Callithrix jacchus: one gene and its partner. The protein of the gene in region 2 binds, or shares a complex with, the protein of the main gene of each other region. Links are inferred from orthologs where the notes say so. Each region holds a gene or a part of one and is shown on either strand. Other genes may lie near its edges.

What was found.
Region 1: PPFIA1 (region 2) and PPFIBP1 share a complex: the UniProt entries of both Homo sapiens proteins name them as parts of the cortical microtubule stabilization complex. The link is inferred for Callithrix jacchus from reciprocal best matches to the Homo sapiens genes PPFIA1 and PPFIBP1.

What each region holds. Positions count from the first base shown.
Region 1 is NC_133510.1:43,539,268-43,543,076, forward strand, and holds part of PPFIBP1 (liprin-beta-1), read right to left. Parts: coding exon 3,736-3,809; intron 3,128-3,735; coding exon 2,939-3,127; intron 499-2,938; coding exon 319-498; intron 1-318. UniProt on the Homo sapiens protein: May regulate the disassembly of focal adhesions. Did not bind receptor-like tyrosine phosphatases type 2A.
Region 2 is NC_133511.1:127,207,944-127,212,492, forward strand, and holds the start of PPFIA1 (liprin-alpha-1), read left to right. Parts: upstream 1-1,442; 5' UTR 1,443-1,675; intron 1,676-1,900; exon of another isoform or gene 1,901-2,065; intron 2,066-2,370; exon of another isoform or gene 2,371-2,584; intron 2,585-2,902; coding exon 2,903-3,166; intron 3,167-4,549. UniProt on the Homo sapiens protein: May regulate the disassembly of focal adhesions. May localize receptor-like tyrosine phosphatases type 2A at specific sites on the plasma membrane, possibly regulating their interaction with the extracellular environment and their association with substrates.

The DNA of each region.
Region 1 (3,809 bases), on a different chromosome or scaffold from region 2:
ATATCACAGGCTTTGGAGCCAGAGTGACAGGTTGAAGACCTTGGGCAAGTTACTTAGCTCTCTGTGTCTCAGTTTCCTTATCTCCAAAATGAGAATAACAACACTCTCCATGTCTTAAGGTTACCATAAACATACGTTAAGTGCTTAGGATGGTACCTGGAACATATAAGCCATCTCTAAGTGTTCACTATTTTTTATTAATATCTGTATTTTTAGTTACTTGAAAAAAATATCCTCCATCAGACACAGCATACAAAGTTCCCGTCTAGTGTCTGAATGCTGGAAACATTTGAAAAAGGTATACTGTGTTGGACTAACCTGCTCTAACCGGTCCAAATCATCTTCGTCATACAGGCGCATATCCAAACCAGCTTTAAATCCTTTCTTAGAAGCACTTCCTGATGGCTGTCCCAATTCCATCGGACAAACATATTCTTCACCATCTTCCTGTTTCTTCTTTCTCAAATTCCCAAAATTGCTAAAGGCAAGTTTCTTTGGCTTTGAAAGAAAAGCAAACAAAAACATCCAAAGGATCTGATAAAATTCCAAAGGACTGATAACATGTAATTTTTTTTGCATCATCCCTCTTCCCTACATGTCTAATTTAATTTTTTACCCCATGTAGAAAGAAAAGTAACTGGATGTTTAAATTTGTATAAAAAAGAAAGGGCATCCTAGGCATACAAATGATGCAATGATAAATGACCCTTGTTATGAATCTCAGAAAATTAATCTTATTCTTCTTCATGTCAACTGGCTGGATAGTCACTGTCTGGACTGGCTTCAAACTCCTGGTCTCAAGAGATCCTCCTGCCTCAGCCTCTGGAGTAGCTGGTACTACACGCACATGCCACTGCACCTGGCTTCATAGTTTTGATTAGACATGCCTTAATGCAACGGATTTCTCAGGGCTAAGTCCAATTTTGCAAGGTTTTTCAATCTAAGATTAGCAAAATAAAATGGACCTTACTCTATTTTTTCTTGGGCTGAGGCTATGGTTATCTTGTGTGCCTATTCTGCTTCCATAATAGAACTGGTAATTGCTAAAATAATTTTTTGGAGAGAAAACTTCAGCAACACTTAGAAGAGAAACTCCACCTTGGTCATTGGATGACTCAGGCAGATAGGAAAAAAAAAAAAGTAAAAAAAAAAAATTAAAAAGAACTTGGCACAAATTTCTGGAGGACCTGATAACCCATCAAGTTGGTTGAGATAACATATTTAGAAGAGTTAATCTAGGATACATTTAAAAGAAGAAAAAGTAATCTGAATTTGGTATAATCCATAAATCCAGGTAAATTAGGAAATATCCATTCTTTTCTGGTTCACTTTGAATCATTTCTTAAGTATCTTTTCCTGTTTACAAGGCTGGTAAATCATAAGCCAGACAAGCTGAATCTGTACAAGAGAAATCTCTCTTCTATATTTGACTTATAAAAACAGAGCAACTGCAATCAATGGTTACAGGCTCTCTGCACTACCAATGCATGGATTTTGGAAGCTCAACATCATGCTCCTCATTATGATTTTTTGAGAGACAGGATCTGGCTCTGTTGCCCAGGCTAGAGTGAAGTGGCATGCTCACAGCTCAATCATAGCTCATTGCAGCCTCAAACTCCTGGGCTCAAGTGATCCTCCTGCCTTGGTCTCCAAAAGCACTGGAATTACAGGTGTAAGCCACCATGCCCACCTAAGAAGGAGCACTCAAAAAGGGACATGAACCCTGGATCTTCAGATTAAAAGTCTGACGCTTTACTGACTGAGCTATCTGGGTGCATTACCTTAATTATTACACTTTTAAAAGATATATACTTAGTTATCCCTCAGTAAATACAGAGCATTAGTTCCAAGACCCTCATGTATACCAACATCCGTACATGGTTCAGCAGTACCTGTGTACCTAAAAAGTCGGGCCTCTCTATATGTGGGTTTTGCATCCCTCCACATTTGCTTGGAAAAAAAAAAAAATCCAAGTAGGAGTGGACCTGTGCAATTCAAACTCATGTTCTTCAAGGGTCAACTGTTCCTTCAACTTGTCAGAATAGGCAGATAGCTAGACATGAGGGGAAGCCCCTGAGAAAAGAGAGGTCTGGAAAATCTCATACCCCAGAAACCACCCAAAACATGCATGCTAGATATGAGCAGAGAGGAGGAGAAACACCTATGCAGAAAGAAATGCCCCTTAAGATGCCCAGTAATCTCTCACTCTGCAGTTTACCTGCCAGAATGTAGCTAGCTGCATGCTGATAAAGAGGAGAAGAAGGCAAAGGAGAAATTCCTAAGAGAAATGCAGGTACAACACATATAGATTTCACTGCTACACAACCATTTTAGGGCGGCGGGAATGAGCAATGCAGCTTTTAGGTAGAACTGTAGCCAATACCCAACCCACGCATGCGTACCAACTATAGTAAGGGAGGGTCCTACAAACCTGGGATGGGAACTAGGCAGGGAAAAGGTGAGGACTTAAGGCAGGAGCGGGAAAATGAGATGAAAAAGACAGAGACTTAACACAGAGGCGAGAGCTTCAAGAAAAAAATTGGACATCATAAAAACCCAACACATAACTCTTGGGTTCATTCTCTTTCAGCAGCCCACTGTGCCATGGTTTCCGGAGTACACTGTCCCTTTAAATAAACATTGTTACTGTGACCCTGCTGTTTTCCCTGCAGGAACAGCTCGTGTACTTTTTTTTTTTTTTTCCTACAATAAGCTCTTTGCTCCCTATTTCCCTTCAATAAAGCTCTCTGCTATCTGTGAACTGTCTCCCAGCCAACATCTTGCTCCTGAGACAACTAAGCACTGAGGATTCCTGCATTTGCTGGAAAGCAACCCATCCACAAAACTTAGTATATCCCAGAAAACAGAATAACCAGGTAATTGATACAATGTGGCCTTTGCGCCAAGCAATTATTAAACCGTATGAGCCTGCACCAACCTTCACTTTGGCAGTAGCTGTTAGAAGGACATAATCTGGCAGCTCCATGGCATCTCGCTTCTGGTGCTGGGCCTCAGCCCCGATCAGAAGGTTGAAATGAGTGGCCAAATGTCTTCGCAGCAAAGTCTTATTTGGTGGGATGTTCAATAACTGAGCCATTGTTTCTACATTAAAACGAGGTTCTAGAACCTGTTAAAAAAAATTAAGCTCGTCAAAAGTCACCATAAATCATACATGTTTGTATGGTGCTTTATAATTTGCAAAGCTCTTTCACTTAGGTGATCTCCAGTGATCCTCTCAACAGCCTGGTGAGGTAAACAGGGTATGGACTTCGATCTTTAATTTATATATCTTTTCTCCATTTTGCCCAAGTTAGTGAGTGATAGAGCTGGTACTCAAATCCAGGCTTCAGGCATCCCAATATCAGTGCTCTCTACCTCTCTGGGGTGCAGTCCGTGGGAGCCAACTCCTTATGCAACATCAATGTGCAGAAATACAATCTGCATCCTTGCAGGGGTTTTCAAACATGAGCATATGAGAGACAGCAGCTACATGTTATTCAACATGAAGGGGATGATAAAAGAGAACTGGCTTTAAATCCAATCTAGATTTACATGATATCAATACAAATACTCTGAAAGGAAAGATTTACTAGAAATAGTGTAGGAGGGTTGGGTCAGATGACTTTAGGATTATGATAATAATAATAGGATATGATAATAACAAACTGATAATATCCTACTCACTAGACTGATGGAAACAAAATAAGTCAATTTGAAGTTAAATCAGAGCCTTACCATGAGCCCGCCATGGACGCCACTGCCTCTGAGGTTGGGGGCATATTCTGCCAAGTCCACAGAGCGCAGCCACT
Region 2 (4,549 bases):
CTGAGTAGCTGGGATTACAGATGCCCACCACCACACCTGGCTAATTTTTTTGTATTTTTCGTAGGGATGGGGCTTCACCATGTTGGCCAGGCTGGTTTTTGTAGGGTTGGTGCTTCACCATGTTGACCTTGTGATCCACCAGCCTAGGCCTCCCAAAGTGCTGGGATTACAGGCGTGAGCCACTGCACCTGGCCTCACCTGGCCATTAACGTGTTTAAAATAGCAAGAAACTAGGGGCAAAAAGCACAAATTCATGTTTACATGTAGTCAGTCAATAAATATTTATCGAATGAATGAATAAATTAATGGCAGGTGTACCAGACCCTGGTAGGTGAGAAAGTTAGTCGGAGGTAGTGCTTGTTCTCCGTGCGTTCACAAGGTGGAATCAGGGAATTCACCTTGGACGGGCTCACGTTTCCCTCTCCTAGCCCCTATGCAGCCTGTTCTCAGACTTGATTCGTTCTGAGGGGCTCTTGGCTGCCTCACACCAACAGCAGTGGTCAGTGGAGACCGGCGATGGTCTCCTGACATGTTGGTTTGTGAAGACCAGCGCTCGAGTCAAATTCTGGGAAGATCGGGAGAGCATCCGCTTTAATTTACTAAATTTATTAGCGGCGTCTCTATTCATCTCCGTGTCTGCAACATCCAGCACAGGACCTGGCCCATGGTAGGTGTTTAAAAATGCTTGCGGAAAAGATCAAATGACCAAGCCTCGTGCAGTGCTGCCCGTCAGCTTCTCAACCAGTCGCTCTTTACATCTGATTGACATCTTAAAGCAGCCTGGCAGGTAGGTCTCCATCATTTTCCCATCCCACATCGGAGGCGCTGAAGCCCAGGCGTGTTTCCCGAGTCGCCCGGACCCACCGGGCCCTCGCTGCAGTGTGAAACCACAGCGGCAAAGTCTGCCCGCTGGACGCTGCGCCGGGGCGTCCCCAGGTGCGGCAGGCAGCGCTCAGTAAGTGGGTCCTGGAGGGAAGCGCGTCCTTCTGAACCCAGATCAGGCCCGGGGAGACTCTGGGAGCGACGCGGAGGGCGCAGTCGGGGCCCCAGGCGGTGGCTGAAGCCTTGGCTCGCTCTGCCGCAAGATGGGAATCCAGAGCCTCCAGCTCGGGAGGGACCTGACGTGCCGGACTGGTCCGGCTCAGAACCCGAGGCGCGGCGGACTGACGCTCGGCAGAGGCCTCCGCTGTACCTGCAGCTGTGGGAGGAGACTGGGGACCCCGCGAGCACCTGAGCTCCCACCTGTGGCTCATCCCGGGGACGCCGCCCCCAACCTGGGCGTGGAATGGAAGGGCGGGGCTCCGTCACGTTCAGCCAATCAGCGCCCTGAAGCCGCCGGCCGCCCCCTCCTGAGGAGACGGCACTTGCGCACTCGGGCCGCAGAGCTCCTCGGGCCCCGCCCCCGGGGCAGTGCTGACGCTCGCGCCGACGCGCCCGACGTCGGGCACGTTGACGCCGGCGCCGCGCAGCCGGGCCCGCTCCTCCTCCGCTCCGCCAGTGTCCGGCCGCGGGCCGGCCTTAGTGACTGGGGCGGCGGGCCCCGGGGCCGCGGCGTGGGGCGGGCAGGCTGACGCCGGCCGCGGGCTGCCTTCGTCTGTTCTCAAGCTCGCCTGGAGCGAGCAGCCGCCCGCGAGCCGCCGCAGAGCCTCCTCGTCCGCTCCCGCCGGCGAGCAAGGTAAGGGAGCGGGACACTGAGGCAGACCCGGGGCCCAGGCGTTCCCGGCGGGTCCCGATCCCCGCGGCGGCCGCGCAGCCGATTGGATGTCTTGGCGGGGAAGGGTGCGCTCCGGGGCGGGCGGGGGCGAGGCGGTAGGGGAGCTCCGGCGGGACCCCCGCGCCCCGAGGGACGGCTCCGGGGGCTGCGTGACGCCCCTGCCCGAGCCCCGCGCCCCGTGACCCTGGCGCTGGGGCGAGGGGCGGGGACCTGCGGCCGCTGAAAGCCCCGGCCCGGGCGGGCTCTGCTGTCAACGGTCCTCACCCCCGGGGTCCTGGGCTCCCGCCGCATCTGCTACAGGAGGGGAAGGAGTGCGGGCGCGAGCAGGCTGGAGGTAACCATCCGCATCAGGTGCGCGGTCTTGGGCATCCTCCTCTCGGGGGTCCACCGCACCCCGAATACTTGCCTTAAGGCTCAGAAGCGACTTCCCGTTCCCCTCCCGCCGTCTTTAGATTCCAGACACTTAATAGTCTCTCATAATCTCACCTTTCACTTTTCCTTCTTTCCTAGCCGCCCCGGGCTGTATCGACCTGCTATATTTCCATTGTGGAATTTTTTTTTTTTTTTTTTTTCCGGTTGTAAACTTACGTAAGTTAGGTTGACTGACCAACCGTTGCAGCCGTTGAAAAACACTTCTACCAGCGTGTAACGAATTCAGTTCTTTTTAGTGCTCACCGAATCCAGCCCAAGAATTCAGGGAGCCGGCCGTTCTTCCCGGGAGCTGACCGCACACATTCCTGCAAGATGCCTGATGGATTTTGTACTTGTCAGTTTTGTTGGCTGTGTGCTCCTTCTGTGCTTTTCCTGAAAAATGATTGGGTGACATGTGTTTTGACTTTCTCTCCCCCCACTGGGAAGTAGAAAAAACAGGTAACAGAAGCACACTTGTTTTCCACGAAAACGTACAGCTTTGCTAAAAGACCACCCCAGGGTTTGCCTTTTTTGTTGTTGCTGTTAGGGCAGTCCTCTGGGATCCTGACTCCCTCCCTGGGTTTTTGTCCGTGTTGATGTCTTCATGTCGTGTATTTCTGCACTTAATATTTGCCCCGTGTGTGTATGTTCTCAGCTTCTTTACATACAAAGCATACCAGTTCTGAGAATAATGCGGCTGCCCATCTTTTTAGCTACAGATACTGTGGGAACCTGTATTCGCACTTAGTGACCGTAGCTTGGGGCCTTGATTTCCAGATGATGTGCGAGGTGATGCCGACCATCAGCGAAGCAGAAGGTCCCCCTGGAGGAAGCGGAAGCCATGGGTCTGGCTCCCCTTCACAGCCGGACACAGATTCACATTTCGAACAGTTGATGGTCTCCATGCTAGAAGAAAGGGACCGTCTTCTTGACACACTGAGAGAGACTCAAGAAACGCTGGCATTAACCCAGGGGAAGTTACACGAGGTTGGTCATGAAAGAGATTCCTTGCAGAGACAGCTCAACACGGCACTTCCGCAGGTATGAGTGCTTTTAACCTGGAACTCTATAGATGCTTTGTTAATGTTTCAGATGAGCATTTTCCGTAACCATTTGTGAAATGATGGTTTCTGGTGTTTGTAAGTCAAATACAAAGTTCCTAGGGATTAAACCTCTTAGGGAGAACAAACTGTTGTACTCTAAAGTCCTGTGAAAAGACCTCATTATTTTCATTCCTGTCTTTGGGAACTGCCTGGGTTCAGGAAGTTCGTTCTCCAGAGTTGTTGAAAAACGGCTCTGAAGCCGCAATCTATACGGTGCCTCTGTTCTGTTGTCTTAGCCTTTTCTTCCTAGACTTGTTCTTCCCACGGATTGTGTCTCTCATGTATTTCCAATTTCCTAATGAAATTTCATGGACAAATAGGATTGATTTCACAGAAAAAAATATTTTGATAGCCCACCTTTTTCAGAACACCTAGGTTTTTGTAAGTCACATTTGTTTTAGGGGATAGAAGACTGGAAATTGATTCCCTTAGAAACTTTTTCCTTGGCAGATGAGAATTTTAAAGCTTAGGCCGAATGTGGTGGCTCATGTCTGTAATCCCAGCACTCTGGGAGACCGAAGCAGGTGGATCACCTGAAATCAGGAGTTCGAGACCAGCCTGGCCAGCATGGCAAAACCAAAAACACAAAAATTAGTGGAGCATGATGGCACACACCTGTAGTCCCAGCTATTCTCGAGCTGAGGCATGAGAATTACTTGAACCCGGGAGGAGGAGGTTGCAGTGAGCCAAGATTGCACCACTGCTTTCCAACCTGGGTGACAGAGCTAGACACTGTTTCACTGTCTCAAAAAAAAAAAAAAAAAAAAAAGGTTTTTAAAGCTTAGAACAACTGAAATTGTTTCTCTGAGTATATAACATTTGGACCAGTGTTTGAAAGACTTTGCTCATGGAGTTGAATGAGGATGAATTAGTGGTAGGTAAACGGAGGAGGGGTAAAAACTAGAAAAGTGTGAGGTGAGTGGCGCGGAGCACAGTAGGAGAGAAGTGGGTTACTTAGGTGGTTCAGAGCCCTCTAGGTGCCATGTCACTTACCACAGGTGCCTTCGCGGTGCCTTCAGGTAGACCTGCGTAATCATAGGCTTATACTCGCATGATGGTCTGCAGTGATACATTCACAAATGAGTAAACTAGCCTTGACGTACTTCTGGGCTGTAGTCAGTTCTCCTGACAGATTGATGAGCCCAACGTGCATTTCCTTTTTAGCAACAGTAATTTGATGTTAGCACTATGTGTTCCTTTTTGTTGGGTTAGAGAAATATTAAGATTTTTCTCAATTCAATTTTAGAGACCACCAAGTTTATTTAGGTCACATTTTATTACTACAAGTTGAAAATAATTAGCCTATTTATGTTTTACCAGG